Oryzias latipes: one gene and its partner. The protein of the gene in region 2 purifies or fractionates together with the protein of the main gene of each other region. This does not show direct contact. Links are inferred from orthologs where the notes say so. Each region holds a gene or a part of one and is shown on either strand. Other genes may lie near its edges.

What was found.
Region 1: the proteins of hscb (region 2) and sdhaf1 purify together in Homo sapiens (co-immunoprecipitation; 3 studies listed by BioGRID and IntAct, with this or other methods). This does not show direct contact. The link is inferred for Oryzias latipes from reciprocal best matches to the Homo sapiens genes HSCB and SDHAF1.

What each region holds. Positions count from the first base shown.
Region 1 is NC_019867.2:402,730-410,904, forward strand, and holds sdhaf1 (succinate dehydrogenase assembly factor 1, mitochondrial), read left to right. Parts: upstream 1-2,566; 5' UTR 2,567-2,612; coding exon of another isoform or gene 2,613-2,631; 5' UTR 2,632-2,823; exon of another isoform or gene 2,824-3,171; intron 3,172-3,337; exon of another isoform or gene 3,338-3,512; intron 3,513-4,213; 5' UTR 4,214-4,341; coding exon 4,342-4,587; 3' UTR 4,588-4,746; downstream 4,747-8,175. Other genes in the region: 8-oxo-dGDP phosphatase NUDT18, read right to left, coding at 634-1,016, 1,360-1,484, 1,561-1,684, 1,762-1,864, 1,936-2,046, 2,119-2,288, 2,613-2,631.
Region 2 is NC_019867.2:2,424,319-2,432,737, reverse strand, and holds the start of hscb (iron-sulfur cluster co-chaperone protein HscB, mitochondrial), read right to left. Parts: upstream 5,047-8,419; 5' UTR 4,938-5,046; coding exon 4,627-4,937; intron 3,586-4,626; coding exon 3,489-3,585; intron 1-3,488. Other genes in the region: volume-regulated anion channel subunit LRRC8A, read left to right, coding at 7,863-8,419.

The DNA of each region.
Region 1 (8,175 bases), about 2.0 Mb from region 2:
TAGAGAAAAGTTCATTTAAACACGACCTTTAACCCCACGATCTGCACTCAAAAACCCCTCAATGAAAGTCTTTGCCCCCCTCCCTGAGAAACGATTTCTTCATCACACATTGAAGCTTCTGTGTTCATCAGCAGCTGAAGGAACAGATGTTGATCTGAAACGGTGTCTCCTGAAGTCTGGATGTTCTGAACATCTTCAGGTTCTCCCACGGCCTCTGACACGTTTCCAGGAGTCACACGGACGTTCCTGCAGCTTTAGAACTTCAGAGATCCATCAGAGAACCTTCGGTGGAACCATCAATCAAAACGGCTCCACAAAGAGATCTCATCCTGAAAGCAGTAGAAGATGGTTCCCGATCCAACAGTCAGAAGAACAAACGCGGATCCATGAAGGAAAAAGACACGGCTGAGGAACAAGAACCCAGAGGAACATCTGGATGAGCCACAAACGGACCTTCCTGGGAGGAGAACGATTCTGCTCTGAAAGCTTCACAGTCACACATTCACATTGACAACTGCAGGAAACACTGACGCAACATGATAATACCCCTCAGGGGGCAAATACTTTCCCTCCATCTGAGACGCTGAGGTCGTGAGGTCACCCTGAAAGTCCGCTTGCTGTCACTGAGCGCGCTCAGTACAGGCTGTGAATCGGCAGCACGGACGTGTTTCTGGTTTTTTCCAGAAGTTTCTCTCTGAGATCCAGATTCTGAACCTCAAACCAGACGTATCGGGGGTTCTCTATGGGTGGGGGCCTCCCCGTAGGCGGGAGCTCCACCTTCAGTCCGTCCTCGTCACGTTGCACGCGATCGGGCACGAGCGCCACCAGCGTGTTGAGGCAGACACCGTCCGTGCGCCCGTGCTGCCGCCCGTTGTGCTGCAGGCCGCAGACGCCCAGCGTGGCGACGTCGTGGTCGTAGTAGGACGACGGCAGGGCCTCCTGCACCACCATGTTGGCCGCCCACGTCACCGCATGGGTTTTCACCGCCGCGGCGGTGGGGAGATGGGGCGTCGGGCCTGCAGGTCAGGAGGAGGTCAACAAGATTTTCAAAATAAAAGCAGTCATCCTGCTGAAAAAGGAAAATAAGAAAACCGTCAGAAAAATGCACGGGAAGCTTTGCTCCTCCTCCACCAGGGAGGGGGAGGAGCCAAACTACTCCTCCCTGGTGGAGGAGAGAGTGGTCGGTGTTAGACTCTGATTCAGGAGGAACCAGGCGCTTCATGACCCGGTCAGGGAACAGGAGGTCAGCTCTACGCCTCACACAGACGGCGTATGTAAGTGTTTGTAAGGGAGGAGGGTTGGAACCATTTTCCCATCATGCTTCGGGACCGACATCAGACTGTGTGTTGGGGGTTGTACCTCGGACCAATAGGATCCAGATCTGATCTTCGGCACCAACAAAGACCAGGACCATCCTCTGCACCACGTGACGACAACTCAGGTCAACTGGCAGAGTGACAGGATGCCAGGGATTCCTGCGGTACCTGAAGGCAGCACCGTCAGTCTAGACAGCGGGAAAACCTCCACAGATGTGATGTTCGGTGAACGTTTGGTGTTTACTTGAGCCCGTTTTCGATGAGGCGGAGGATGTCTCGTCCTCTGAGGGGGAGGGGGGACTGTCTGTCCCACCAGGCGGCCTGCAGAGACTCCTGATCTGCTGCTGCCAGACTCTTCAAACTACCACCTGGAGAAGAGGAGACCCAGGTTCACTGAGGTTCCCCCCCCCCCCCCAAAGAGCACCCCGGGTCGCTCTGACACCACCTGAGATCCTGGCGAGGAAGATGAAGCGGATCCATTGTGGCCCTTGCTCCTGGATGAGCAGCATGGTGATTGGCTCACAGTCAAACCCCGCCTCCTCCTTCACCTGCAGACAGCCACAGAACAGGTAAGCCAGGAAGTGGGTGGAGAAAAAAACATGACTCCTGCATGCCTCACCTCCCTCCTGAGCGCCTCCTCCAGGCTCTCCCCCACCTCCACCCTCCCTGCAGGAAGGTACCACTGCTTGTAGCAGTCCTGTTTGGCCTCCTGCACCATCAGCACCTCCTCCTAAAGGAGCCACACGAACAGGCTTCAACATGAGGAGGAGCGGCCGCCGCTCTCATGGCGTGCTGGGCTTGCCTTCTCATTGAAGATGACGGCGCAGACGATGTAGGTAATGTTCTTCCTCAGCGCCGCCGGCTTGCTCTGCTCCATGCCGACATCACAGAGGCTGACCTCTGACCCCTGGCCACTCAGCAGCCGCTCCACCTGCTCCTCCACCAGCTGCCGCTCTGATGTCATCTCAATGTCTGCCTAGACACGGGGGAAAAAATGGGTCCTAGTTCACGTCCAGCACAATCCGTGTGATGCTGCTTCATGTTCAAGCTTAAGTGAGGAGTCCCAGCAGAACCAGAACCTGAACCCAGAGAGACCCTCCATGTGAACCGGACCCTCCTGTGTCACAGAGAGGAGGCCTGGAGTTCCACTGATCAGCAGAGGCCCCTTCAGACCTTCATCCACTGCTGGGCTTTTCTCAGCCTAAAGTTTTGGTTCCAATTGGTTCTGCCTCCGTTTATTTGTGTACTTTGGGGTTCTGACAGGTGTGATGATGACGTGGGGGGTGGGGGGCTCACCAGTCTGCCTCTGTTTCATAAAACTCTATTGAAGAGGAATCTGGTTGTGGCCACCTGTTGAAACGGCACGTGCAGCTTTGAGCGTCTGTGGACCGGAGTCACGAACCGGATCCAAACGGAAGCTTCGGGACCAGGACCAGGACGCTCCTGCAGTCAGTTCTGTCCTCTGAAGAACCCCATCGTGGTTCAAACTAGTCCAGGTCTGCCTGAGGTGAGACTCACTAGATCTTCTCCTGTGAAACGCTGAGGTTCTCTTTTGTTACCTGGATGAACTCAGCAGAACCTCCAGCAACTCGCTGTACGTCGGTACTTCAGTACTGAGCTCTCTGCAGTAGCTGCTAGCTAGCATAACAGCTAACGGGACGCAAACTATTTGAGTTCTTCTCTCTGTTTAGCGCAAAACTGGGAATCTCGCAAATGAATTTATCATAAGCGCCATCTTTTTTTTATTTTTATTAAAAAGCGAACCTTTTTCTGCTTGGTCTCCGCAACTCTTCACACTTGTCAACGGCAAACAAACCAGGAAGTGCACCGTCTTTAACTTCCGGTTGGAGTTTCAAGCTTCATCTTAGACTTTTTAAAATTGCAACATTTTCTCAGTTATTTTACGTTTTTACAGACTATACTACGTTTAAATATATTTTGAAATTTGAATTTAAGTCGTTTACATCTTTTTATTAGTGTAGTGGGATTTTTCGTGACTAAACGGCCTTTATTGTGAAATCTGTGGATGAACAGTTTCTCAGCTTCCTGTTTTCATTTTCCGCTTCCGCGTGTTATAACGCTGAAAGGTCAGTCGAAGGCTGTAAGCGCTGAAACCGTGTGTCTGCAGTGATTTACCGGTTGGGACTAACCGGGCAGAAACCCTCCGTTTCTGTAGGGGGGGTTGAAGCTGGACTCGTGAGTTTAACTTCTTGTTCTGACCTCTAGGCAGTTTTCAGCAGCTGGGGGGTTCTGGTCAGAAGAGGCGGGTTCCGTCCATCCTGATGTTCTGCAGCTTCATGTCTGTTTATTTGTCTTCATTTTGTCTCTTTCTGCTCATGTTTTGACTTTTTTATGCCCCTTTGGTTTGTTACGTAGGGGGGGGGGCTGTTTGTAAAGTTACAGTTACATTTTAACTGAAATATTTTTGGATATTTAGCAGGTTTCATTTTAAATGCAGGTTTTCACATTTTGATACAATCTATTTTTTAATGTTTTATTTACTAACTACTTTTTTAGTTTGCAAGCTAAATAGTTAAAGTATTTTCTTTTATAATTAAACATTTAGTTAAGTAATTAAAAGGTGAAAATATGGATTTGAAAGATAAAACCTGCTAAAGTAAACAATAACTGTCACTTTACAAGCGGGTGGCTGTAGTTTAGCACCAAAACTGTTTGGCAGTATTTCCTAAACTGAGACCACGCCCTTGCCCCCCCCATGGCAAAGCTGCTTGCCCCCCATGTTGATGCTGCAGAGGGTCTCAGCTCTCCAGAGACACGGACCTCACGCTCGCCGGTGTTTGTCATCAAACGCTTTCCAGAACCTCCTTCAGATCCAGCTCGTGTGTTCTGTCCTCAGGCCTGAGCCTAAAATGATGTTTTGTTGTTTCTGTGTGCAGGAGGCTGCAGTGTGCCTGGGGGGCCGTGATGCTTCACCTGCAGACAGAAGCAGCTCCTCTGTGGTGGACCTGCAGGCGCTCTGCTCACAGGTGCTGGTAGTGACCTACAGGTCGGTTCTTCAGCCACGATGCGGCACAGCAAGCTGCAGCAGCAGGTCCTGGTTCTGTACCGACAGTTTCTGCGAGCCGCTCAGAACAAGCCCGGCTTCATCCCACGGATCCGTGACGAGTTCAGGGAGAACGCCCGCATCAAGAAGACGGACGTGATGCACATCGAGTACCTGTTCCGGCGAGGCCAGAGGCAGCTGGAGCAGCTTCGGGACGCCAACACCAAGCAGCTGGGCTCCTTCTCCAAACCCAAAGGGTCCGGCTGAAGTCCGGCTGCCTTCAGAGTCACAGACAGACGTGAGCGAAAGGTCATTTACAGGAGAGGAGGCGCGGGCGGACGAGGCGCGGGCAGAATCCCTGTCAAGAAGTTTTCTGTAGGAGAAACCAAGATGTGCTTCAACAAATAAAAACCAGTTTCTGCTGCATTTAGTGTGATGTATGTAGAACCAACGGATCAAACACAAAGAAACATTTAACTGGCTTCAAATGTGTTAAAAAATTAATATATTTAACAACTTTCTGACAAAGGTTATTTTTAAGATCTATTTTGTCTTTTACACAAACAAACGGGCGGCGCTGCCTTAGATAAAGGAGGAGGAGCTCAGTGTTAGGTAGGGATGGGTACCGTGCCCCGGTATTGAACCAGCCCCGGGGCCACATTCTTCAAGACGGCAGTATCGTTAGATCTGACCTGAACGGTTCTGCTATCGGTACTGGAGAAGTTACTTTTTCTTTTTTCTTTTTTGTGTCCCACAAAATGTAAGCGTTATCTGCCATATTTAACTCACCAAGTCAGTCAATTTTCCGTTAATTAATGATGATATTAATTTCGGTATTCTCGTTGAAGCGGAGAGCTCTGTCTGTCTATTTGTGTGCAGGGGGGGGGGGGGGGGGGGCTGTTGTTCAGACAGCACGCGCCACGCGCGCACACACACAAGACAAGGCAGCGCACACACAGTCAGTGGCGATCTTGTAGGGGACACGTGAGCGCCCTAGACTAAGAACTAACGTTTCTGCGTAAAATTATTAAGTTTGCCTACCATGCTGTCACCTTGCTGCTACGATGACCGTATGTTGCGCTGTTTGTGCAGAACAGGCTGGGGCAGCGGGAGGGGGGGTGGGGGGGCGTTGCACGCGGAGTTTACAACAAACAGGTAGAGAGGCGGGGCTTAGACTCACCGCTTATGATTCCAGACCCGCGACAAACTATCAGCTGCTTCCTAATACTTAATAATAATTAATAACTAATGATAGTTGTCATCCGTAAAATTAATATCATTTATTGGGTTTACTGGATTTAAAGAAAAATAAATGGAGTTGGCAAAATAGAAAGGAGTCTGCATCAAAGTGAATTTGTTTCCATCATTTAACTTAACTTAACTCTGGTGTTTGACAGACAGAAACGTCTATATTCAAGGTTGTGGAAAATGGACAAAAGATCAAATGAAACATCACACTCATAAATAATAAAAACAATTAGATTAAATAATTAAATAAATATCCTGTCTGGAACATTCTCATGTATAAAGTAAAATGTTTTGTTAAAAAAACAATGCTGTTGCATAGTGAGGAAATAAAACACTTTATGTTCTTAATTTGCTATTTATTTATTTATTTATTTTCGTCCTCAAAAAGTATCGATAAGAGTACCGGATCGATAAGCAGTATCGATAAGAGTAGTAGTATCGTTAAAACCTTAACGATACCCATCCCTACTCAGTGTGCTGCTGCTCCTCCACAGGGAGAGGAGGTCATTGATGTGGCTCAGCGTGTGGACGCCTCCCTGGGGAGGTGTTCGGGGCATGTCCCACCTGGAGGAGGCCTGCGGAAGACCCAGGACTCCATGTGGAGATTCCATCTCTCGGCTGGCCTGAGAATGCCTCGGGGTCCCCAGAGGAGCTGGAGGGGAGCTTAGACTGCTGCCCCCATGACCGAACCCCAGATGATGGATGGGGAGTTTAGAAACAGCTGTTAAAGATTCTGGAATGTAGTGATTGTCATTACTTCCAGAACCGTATTAAAAAACCATCAGGTTTCTTTGTCAAAGGTCCAATGTTCTGCTTCTCATCTCATGGTTCTTCGGCTCAGGAGAACCCCTGCCCCCACAGCACCGCCCTGCTGAACTCTGGTCTGCAGGTTGGTTCTCTGTGAACCTCAGGTGTTCTGGTCTCTGCTCGAAACCGTCTTTCATTGGACACACGGAAGCCTGGAGGCCGTCATAAACAATAAAACTATCACGTACCAAAAGCCTCGAACTCGTCAGCAGCGTCGCAGACTGCAGTCAGTCCCAGTAACTGCCGCTGGGGGCGCTGTGCGCTCTCTGCTCCACACGGAGGCGGAAGTAAACAGGAAGTAGTTTGTGTTAGAAAAACGAGTAAAACTGACCCGTGGACGCCAGGGTCGAGCCGTGTTTGGCGGTAAACGTGTGTCTGCGGTCATGAACAGCGCGGAGTTTTTTCAGCAGGTAAGGAAAACGAACGGACGGGTCACAGCGGACCCGGGACACTAACGAACCGAATTCATTGCTAAAGGTTCTGATCGGGTTCGGGACGAACCGAGCAGAGGCTCGTGATCCAGGTGTGGGAATAGAAATGGACACTTCCGGTAAAATCATTTCACGTTCAGGTAACGATGCAGTTGTTAACGATGACATCAGTCACGTGACTAAATATAACGCGTTACTTCTGCGCTTAAGGAACTGGCTAAAATCATCCACTATGGTGAGCAGAGTTTCCTGTCAGCCAGACAGCAGGTCTGGACTCGGGTCGGTCAGTTCCGGTCCAGGTCCTGGTTCTGGTTCTGGACTGAAGCTCCTGGACGTTCAGCTCCAAGAACATCCAACAAAAAGCAGGAAAAACGTGAATCTGTCCATCTTTAGAACAGACGGAGCAGCAGAACCTCAGCTCAGACACATCTGGTCCCCAGAGGAGGTCAGGTCCAGAACTGGTTCTGAGGAGCAGAAAAACATGGATCCAACAGAACACGTCTCCTTTCTCAGTGGTTCTGGAAGCATCTCAGAGTTTTGGGGAAAGATCTAAACTCAAATGTTGTCGTGAAACAGACAGAAATGAAGCTGGACTGGACACAGGAAGTTCTTCCAAAGCTCCACAGGAGCTCAGTTGGATGATGTTCCATGTGATCCTCAGACCTTAATAGAACCCGTGGGTCCGTCAGAACCTGCTCCTAGAGCCTCTGCTTCACGCCAGTGCTCTTGGGGAGGAAGGTTGGATTCCTCTGAAGTAAGGTTCTGTCTCCTGCAGGTGGCCTTCCTTCGGTACCTGACCTCTCAGACGGAGGAGGATCGCCGGGCTCTGGCTGTGGTGACCGGGTTACGGGTCGGTGGGGAGCTGCTGAACCGGATCACCGGCCAGGACAAAGTGGATGCTTACAAGGTGCTGAAGCAGCTGCAGAACTCTGATCCTCAGAGGGGCTCCTGTAGCAGCAATGGGGGGGTTGTGATTTATGACCCGATCGGTCCTGGGGCCAAATTAACAACAACCGGTGCTGCTGACCTTAAGGGGGGGGGGGGGGGGGGGACCACCGTTAGTGGAAGAAGGAGAGGAGGAGGGCGTGTTCTTCGGCAGAGCAAAGGACAGACAGGATGAAGGACTTAGAGCAGAACTTTGAATGGCGGAGCTACAGTTTTCCAGGACATAGTTTCTGCAGAGCGGCAGGAGTCTAACGATTTTGTCATTTCTGTCTCCTCAGAAAGCATGTATCCTGAACATCGTGCAGTTCCTCCAGCAGAACCCGCGGGCCTCGCAGGCCCAGATCAACGCAGAGGTTCAGAAGAATGTTGTGGTTTTTGCTGCTCAGGTCAGAGCTCTGGAGACGGCTCCTCTCTGGTAAAGTCC
Region 2 (8,419 bases):
AATTCCTTGAAAAAAATGTGTCCGATTGCAGACGGCAGTGCTGTTTTTAACACTTTATAAGCTGTTGCTATTAAAGACCTTCCGTCCAACCTGCACGTCAAGTGTCACTATAGTAGGCCTATCATTTTGGAAATATGAGGGGAAACGTATTGGAATAGATTGTAGCCCTGCCTATAGGAGAGTAGTGTTATGGACGTTGTTGCGCTAACTTATCTGAAATTGAGAAAGAAGTTTCTCAAATTTGAAATCCACTCTTGTCTAATTTGCATGACGTGTTCTACAGAAACGGTAAGAAATTATGCCAAATGGGTGGTACCATTGGCTTTACGGTAGTCCAAATAGGGTATGTGTAGAAATATGCAAAGGTCTGTAAAAGTATATGGCATGGGAACTTAAAGATGTATTTTGCAAAAAATCTAGTTAGGTAGAGATGGCAGATCCATGTCTGCACATTTTTTCTACTATCCAATGAATCACAGGGGAATAAAAGCTCATTCCTATCCCTATTGCTCTGGGAGATTAAGGCCCAAACCACCAGGTGGCGCAACAGAGCCAGAATTGACAAGGCATGGATAGATTGGTCTGGAGTAATTGCTCATTAAGTTTGGTACCCTTGGGTATTGTTTTTATTTTTTTAGATAAAAGTCTTCAAATTTGACTGTTGTTCATTTCCTAAAAACAAAATGTATACAATAAGCCATAATAGCTAATGGCACTAAATGGCCTTAAACCAAAGATCTACCCAATGAGCTTTGCAAACTATCAGTAGTTGTCTGTTGTTATCAGCATCTGTTTAAGAGATACAATGGATTATCCATAGCTAGAAAATCCTCTGATAGTCACCACCAGGTGGCGCTTAAAAGCTAGTTTTCTAGTATATTTTACTAGACCTCTCATCCAACATACTTGTCAATTATTTTTTGTTTAGGGGAAGTAGTTGTTGAACTATAGGTGTAAACACAATAGCATAATTTCTTGTTGTTCTGGTAAATAGCCTGTCCGTCCTGGGGGAGGATCCCTCCTTCGTGTGGGCACCCCTGAGGTTTCTTCGTTTTTTCCGGAATCCGGTTTTTTTGGGAGTTTTTCCTTACCGCGAAGGGGGGTCTAAGGGCAGGGATGCCAGTATAGCTTAGTCAGTTTGTTAGTTCATTTTAGTATTTTTCTATTGAACTCTTTGTATTCATGATCCTTTTGATTTCATGTTTTACTTCGAAGCCCATCGAGACGTCTGTTGTTGTGATTTTGGGCTATACAAATAAAATTGAATTGAATTGAATAATTTATAGGAATATTTTCCCCATTCTTCTGATTGTGATTAATCACTGTAAGAGGAAGCCCTATTTCAAATTTGGTGTATCTGATAATGATTTGAGCATTTCAAATAAGAGAACACCCACTCATTAGCACTACACTTTCTACAAAAACAATAAAGAATTGCACAAAAATGATTGATACCATTGGATCCGGGGAGATCCAAATGGGTTATGCAGAGAAAATTGTAAAGACTGTTGAGAATATATTGAATAGGGAGCCAAAAACGTCTTTTATACGAAAAATCGTAAATTACGAAAAATATAGTTAGGTCTATTTTCAAAAAACATTTCTATCCAAGGAATAAGAAGCAAAAAGAATGTTTTGAATTTTACTTACTATGTTGGCAATTTAAGCATAAACGCGTTTTGTACCACAACGGACCACATGGAGGCGCAATCGAGCTGGCTTTATTAAAGCGCACTTTCTCCTTATTGCTCACTAAGTTACATTCCTATAGTCTCTGCGCTTTTCGAGATATTACACTTGAAATGTTGGCCCTATTCATTTTCTATTTGAGCAAAATTCCATTAAAATATAAATATATCATAAACCTTACAACCGATTTGTACCAAAAGTAATAGCACTCTGCTCCCATTGGAGCTTTACCAGCTCCAACTGAAATAGTTTAAGTATCTTTACAATTGCAGGAGAAGAAGAGATCAAAAGAATTGATGGAATAAAATATGTTGATAATATTAATGAAATATAATAGAGAATTACAACAACATACTCTGATTGCTGAAAGCAATCAGACAATAATTGACACAAGGCACCATCAAACACCAAGAACTGTGACAAAAAATGTCCCAAAGATTATCTGACGATAATCTTTGGGACATTAAGAATTTAATGTAAGTCCTGCAAAGGTTTTGTTAACACAATCAATTTTACATTTCTCTGTGAGGACAAACTCCACATTTTCCAAACCTTTTAGTGCCATAAGGATGCTGGAGCCTATCCCAAACAAACACAATCACTCCGAGGGAGAATTTGAAATCGCCAATAAACCTATCACGCATGTTTTTGGACTGCAGGAGGAAAGCGGAAGAAACTCACACAAGAACAAGAAGAACATGCAAACTCCGCCCACAAAAGACCCGAGTCCTCGCTCTGAATGCTAACCACTGCATCACACTGCAGCTGTCTGAAAAAAAATCACTTTACAAAAACAAACCATTACTTATGTAGTCTGAAGAAAATAAATCCTTTGTCCAACAGCACAGCACTTGTTCCTCACTTTCTTTAAATAGATAAATTACTTCTGTTTTTCTGACACCTTTAAAAGAATTCTGCCGTGTTTCCACAAGTCCACTTCATTGACCTGTTGTCGAGTCCTGAACCAGTCAAGTTTCTTTACTTACTGACTGATTCCAGCAGACATTGTGTACGATTTAAAAATGTCCACATCAACACTTTCTCATCAGTAAACACATCGTTTGCAAATTATTTAGACCAAATTTAAACGAGTACACATGATATTCATGACGGCTGTTGGAGAGTTGTAAGAAAACCCCTTTTAAAACCCCAAACTAATGTTGTTTAAAGAGATCTGATGATCTATTTTCAAACGGGTCGTCTTATAATTGTGATGATGCCGTTTTTAACCAAAAATTTACAAAAAAGCTCTCGTTTTCAAGGACATAGTTTCTGCAGAGCGACAAGGGGTTTGTTTGGTGAGTTGTGGGCGGGACTGTTGGTGCTAAGCAACCCCTACCCGGCTTCCCATCATCCATCTGTTTACGCGCCCTCCTGCTAGCTTACAGCCCCTCACACCTCCAACCCAACATTGCCAGAGCAACAGAAATGGCGACAATATCAAAGCTATCCGGCCGAACAGTTCTGATCCAGATTCCAGCTCAGACCAGGAAAACAAAGCCGTTCATGGATCTGTTGGAGGATGCATCGGAATGGAGCAGGTTAGGGTTATTTGTGTCCTTCATCATCGAGAAAATGCCACAGGAACATGTTAAAAATAATGAAAAGATCCTGACTAGCGGCCATATGCCATAAGCTGCACTAACACTTTTATTTAAGAAACAAAGTTGTTTTTGTCGTTTGTCCAGAGTAACTTGTGCCAATTGAACAGACTCCCTGCAACACAGGGTGTGTCCAAACCAACGAGAGAGGCTGCTCGGACGCAGAGACCAACAACCAACAGCTGATCTGCTGCCTACCGCAGATCTCTGGCTGAAGTTGTCTGGGTGGAGGAACCGCTGGAGCTGCAGGTATCTTCTCTGCAATTTCTGTGTGTCCACCGTGAAAGTGTAGTCACTGCAAGGAGGCAACAAAGGGTGAGACGCAACCAGACTGGAGCAGTTTGAGAACGTTTGAGGGGTCGGCAACCTGACGCTCTGCAGCCACATGTGGCTCTTTTATTCCTCTATTGTGGCTCTTTTGGCTTTAAGGAAAGATGTTAACGTTATTTTTCATTTACGTATTCTCACTTATGTGTACATTCCTATACTGACCTTATATAAGTAAAAAAGAAAAACCTGTTGGATTCTACACTAATGTTGTCTTGTGTAGAATAAATGGTTAAAGGAGAAAAAGGGGGACTGTGCACCAAAGTCATAATCATGATCCAAGTAGCAGAAGAAACTTATTTATGTGTTTTATTTTTTGAAAGTAGCTTATATGCTCTGTCATCTAATTAAATAAAATCGTATTTGTTCTATTAAAAACTAAAACACTGCAATAATTGAATTATTGTAAATGTTTAAAACTACATTTTATAAAGAACTAGCAGGAGCTGCATTTCCAGAGAAGAAAATTCCGGGTTGAATGCTGTATTACTGTATGAAAATGAAACTTAAAGGATAATAATTGACAAAAAAATAAATTAATAAAATTTTAAAAAATGATTAAAGTTGACCTTGAATAATGTGACAACAGCACAATAACAAAAAATATATTTTTGTGAAAAATGCAAGCACCGGGTCTGGAACAAGCGATTCTCCATGTATTTCAATGGAGGAAAAAATCCTGGAATATCTTGAAAATACCAAGGATTTGAAGGATCAAAAGTCACAACTGGAAAAGGCTGACAACGCTGAACATTTTAACAGTTGAATGGGTAAAACAGCGGAAAAATTGTAGAAGTTAAGCGGCAAATAATGGCAGAAGATACAATAATAAAGAAGGAGAAACAGGAAAACAATGGGCTGGATGCTTTATAGCATCAACCATATAACACAATAACTAAAGTGTGTTTTGTCTGAGGAATAAAGAGGGGTTTTGGTCAGTGAGGAAGTGGACCAAATGGCTCTTTTGGCATCAAAGGTTGCAGACCCCTCATTAGACCAAGAGACTCACCAGTCCATGATCTTAAAATAGGACTCTCCTTCTGCTGGGGGTTGAATTGTTTTGCAAGAGTTGCAAAAGAATGCAGGGACATTGTCGAGAAGCTGTTTACAGTTCCAGCAGTTCGTTTTAGCTTGACTCGTGCTGCAATTCCTAAAACGGACTTCATTGGGGTAATAAAAAAGTTCTCCTCTTCTTCTTCTTCCCACTGCCAGAGCTGTCACATTTCTGGTCCATGCTGCTTTGGGAACCAACAATCCACCCGTTAATAAGCACCGAGAACGCAGTACGGCCCCGGACGATCGTCCAACCCTTAGAAACATGCCTGGCTATATAATCTTTTTGATTTCTTTAGGTAAAATCAGTGGATATTTACAATTGTTCAGGTCAAAACACGGTCGTCTCCATCCCACACAGCAGAGGAAGTTGTTTTCTTCTTCTACGGTTGCTTACGTCACAGCGCCTCCTATCGGCCGGAGGTCGCAACTGTCCGCGGCTTTGTGTCGAAGCAACTTCAAAAACATTAGCTCGCTAGCTAAGCAGCTAGCTAAAGCTAACCAAATTTTTTTCAGAAATATTAGGATCCAAAGAATTATTGGAGGTTTTCCGGCTCGTCGTATGTAGTAAGTTGGATATCTTACAAATTCTCACGCCTCAGAAAAACGCAGCGTCGGACGAAATGTAACATTTAGTTTAGGGTGTAAACTTCCAATGAAGGAAAACAGCCGGTGATATATATATAGCTGAGTTAGCTTTATTATCTCTGGTGAGAGGATAGCTTATTTTGCTAAAATCTTTTTACATTATTTTAACTACTTTTACTTGCGTTGTGTTTAGAAAAAGGCGCGGGTGTTTTTCTGCTAATTCCAGATACCTTAAGGCACGTATCTGTGTGTGTGTTTTTTAAACTTTTTAGTTTAAAAGTCGCTCGTTTTTCTTTTGACGTGCTACATGTGCACCAAAATAATATGAGAAACTCATTAAAACGATATAAATCAGGTAGTTTTACAGCCTGTCATCCTAAGTGTTTGCATTTAAGTGAATAATTCATCACGTCAACTTTCCCACCGCATGTTTTTATGATATTGAGTGGAAAAAACACAGGAGGATCAATGTCATCCTCGTGCCATTTCAGGTCTCCTGCTGTGCTGCTCAAGCATGATAACAGGCATCCTTCATGAAGTGCACTGGATGCACAGACAGTGGAAGGTCAGCTGGGGCCTTCATCAGGAGCTGAGGCGGAGATAACACCCATGCTTGCTGGTCCTGGCGCCGCTACATCATCATCCCAAAAAAATCAACGCTACAAATGTTGGTAGGTGTGTCTGAAGACTGTTCATCACCTTCCTGTTTGGTGGTGGAGCAGCACATTTACTTTACAGTTTCCCAACAAAGTGCCAGCTGTACTAAATGCCAAACCCGAATTCCTTATTGTGTGTAGTGTGTCGTCAAAAGTTGCCGACAGACTATTCCAGAGAGACACTGGTTGGAGACAGAAGCATCTGTATGGTAAACAGGATCTCCTCCTGAAGGTCGAGGGAGGTGTTTTTCAAGGCCCCCACAGACAATACCCTGAGTATTATTAACGGAAATAGCTAAGAATAGAGAGCAGGGGAGCAAGGTGGCTCCTTCTGCGCTTGTGTTGTTTGGGTGAAACCAGCCAAAACGGAACATCATCTTTAGAAGAGGGGCTTCTCCAGCGGACGGTTTGGGTGGGGTGCAGGCGCACAAAGCAAGAGCTTGGTTTGAAGTGCTGCATTTGACTCGCACAACAACTGAGCTAAAGGATGAATCGCATGGTTCTGCTTTGGACTTGTGAGTATGGAAACTTCTCGATATCCATTTTGCTTTAATTTCATTCGTGTCTTGTGTTCAGCTATTTTTCTAAATTAATTTTGAGTTAATTTTCTTTCTTTAGATATTAAAAAAATAACAACATATAACTCCCGTTTTAAAGACTTTCTGAGTTATTTAACATTTTTAGAATCAACTATAGTAAAATAATTGATCAAAATAAGACTAATGGATGGTGTTATCCCTTCGTCAGACAAAGAAGGAGGAGCAAGTGCATGTAACACTTCACACATCAAACACGCAAGTTAAAACAATTTTTAATTCTAAACCCAGTAAGTTATACTTTTTTGAAAATTTGCAAACATTAAATGATGTTGGCTGTCTGGCAAAAATGAACATTTTTCCTCTTCTAAAGGGGGGGACAAGAGAAAAGGTTTGAGAACCACTGTGTTATACCATGTGTCCGTGTGAATGCTGGGTTCTGATTGGCTGCTGGGCGTGAATTAAAAAGTGATCATGCACACCTAAAAAAATAAGTTCCAGTCACATAGCGTAAATGTTCTGTATGTGTATGTTCTCCTCTGGCTTCTTCAAAACAAACTTCATCTTCATCATCTGGACAAAGAGGTGAACTTTGTCTGAACTGACCCCATCGTCATGACCAGCAAATATGACGCTGTCCTTTGCCGCCGCAGTCGAGGTCGATGCCCGCTCAGCTGATACCATGACAACGCACAACAAATAGTCAATTTTTTGTTAAAAAGCTATTTAAACCGGAAAAATAACTGGAATAAAGTACTAACAATTGATTTAATTTTTATTTCTTTTGGATGTGACCATGGCATGCGCGGGAAAATGGCCTTCGAAGTGTCCATTATCAGAAATTAACAGACTTTATAGATGGACTTTGAACCTCAGTGTCGTCCATTAATTTAAAATTATGGACATTTCATCGGCCAATAACCCTTAATTATCTGACACCCTGCAGCCAATCAGAATCGCGTATTGACCTGGAACATGGTATAAAACTGCTTAAATATTAAATAAGTAACTTTTAAGCCATATATAAATTCTGTTTTTAAAATTGCTTTCAGCTTGAGGCAGAAATTAATGAAAAGTTTAAAGTTTTCTTTTAAATGATGTTGCAGATTCCCTTTTATTTTGTTGTTCGTTGCCTTCCTTGACCCGTTGAATCTATCTGGTTCACGTGTTATGGGAAAAAAAGGGATTTCCTGTTTGTGTTTTTGTTTTTGGTTTTTTTGTCATGGGAATGTGTCACTTCGCTGGTCTGGGGTTCAAATCCCAGGCCACACAGTCATTTTGTCCTTAAGAAAGACACCTGACCCCACATTGTCTTCAAATAAAAAAAGAGAGAAATGTCATGTACTAGTGTTTCAAAATTCAAACAATCTGTCCATAATATTTCTTTATTTTTTTTCCACTACAGATAAGCCATGATCCCCATCACTGAATTGCGGTACTTTGTGGATACACAGCCAGCATACCGCATCCTGAAACCATGGTGGGATGTGTTCACGGACTACATTTCTATCGTCATGCTGATGATTTCCGTGTTTGGAGGAACGCTGCAGATCACACAGGACAAAATGATCTGCCTGCCTTGCAAATGGGTCGTCAATGAAACCTGCAAGAAAAACTTTAGCTCTATTCTGTCCTCGACCTTTTTCAAGGAACCCAAAGGGATCCAGTATGATCTGGACCGGCACCAGTACAACTACGTTGATGCTGTGTGCTACGAAAACAGACTGCACTGGTTTGCCAAGTACTTTCCTTACTTAGTATTACTCCACACCCTGATTTTTCTCGCTTGCAGCAACTTTTGGTTCAAGTTTCCACGGACTAGCTCCAAACTGGAGCACTTTGTGTCCATCTTGCTGAAATGCTTTGACTCTCCGTGGACAACCAGGGCTCTGTCAGAGACGGTGGTCGAGGAAAGCGACCCCAAACCCATGAAAATGAACGGCTCGGTGGACCACAAAGAATCCGTCAT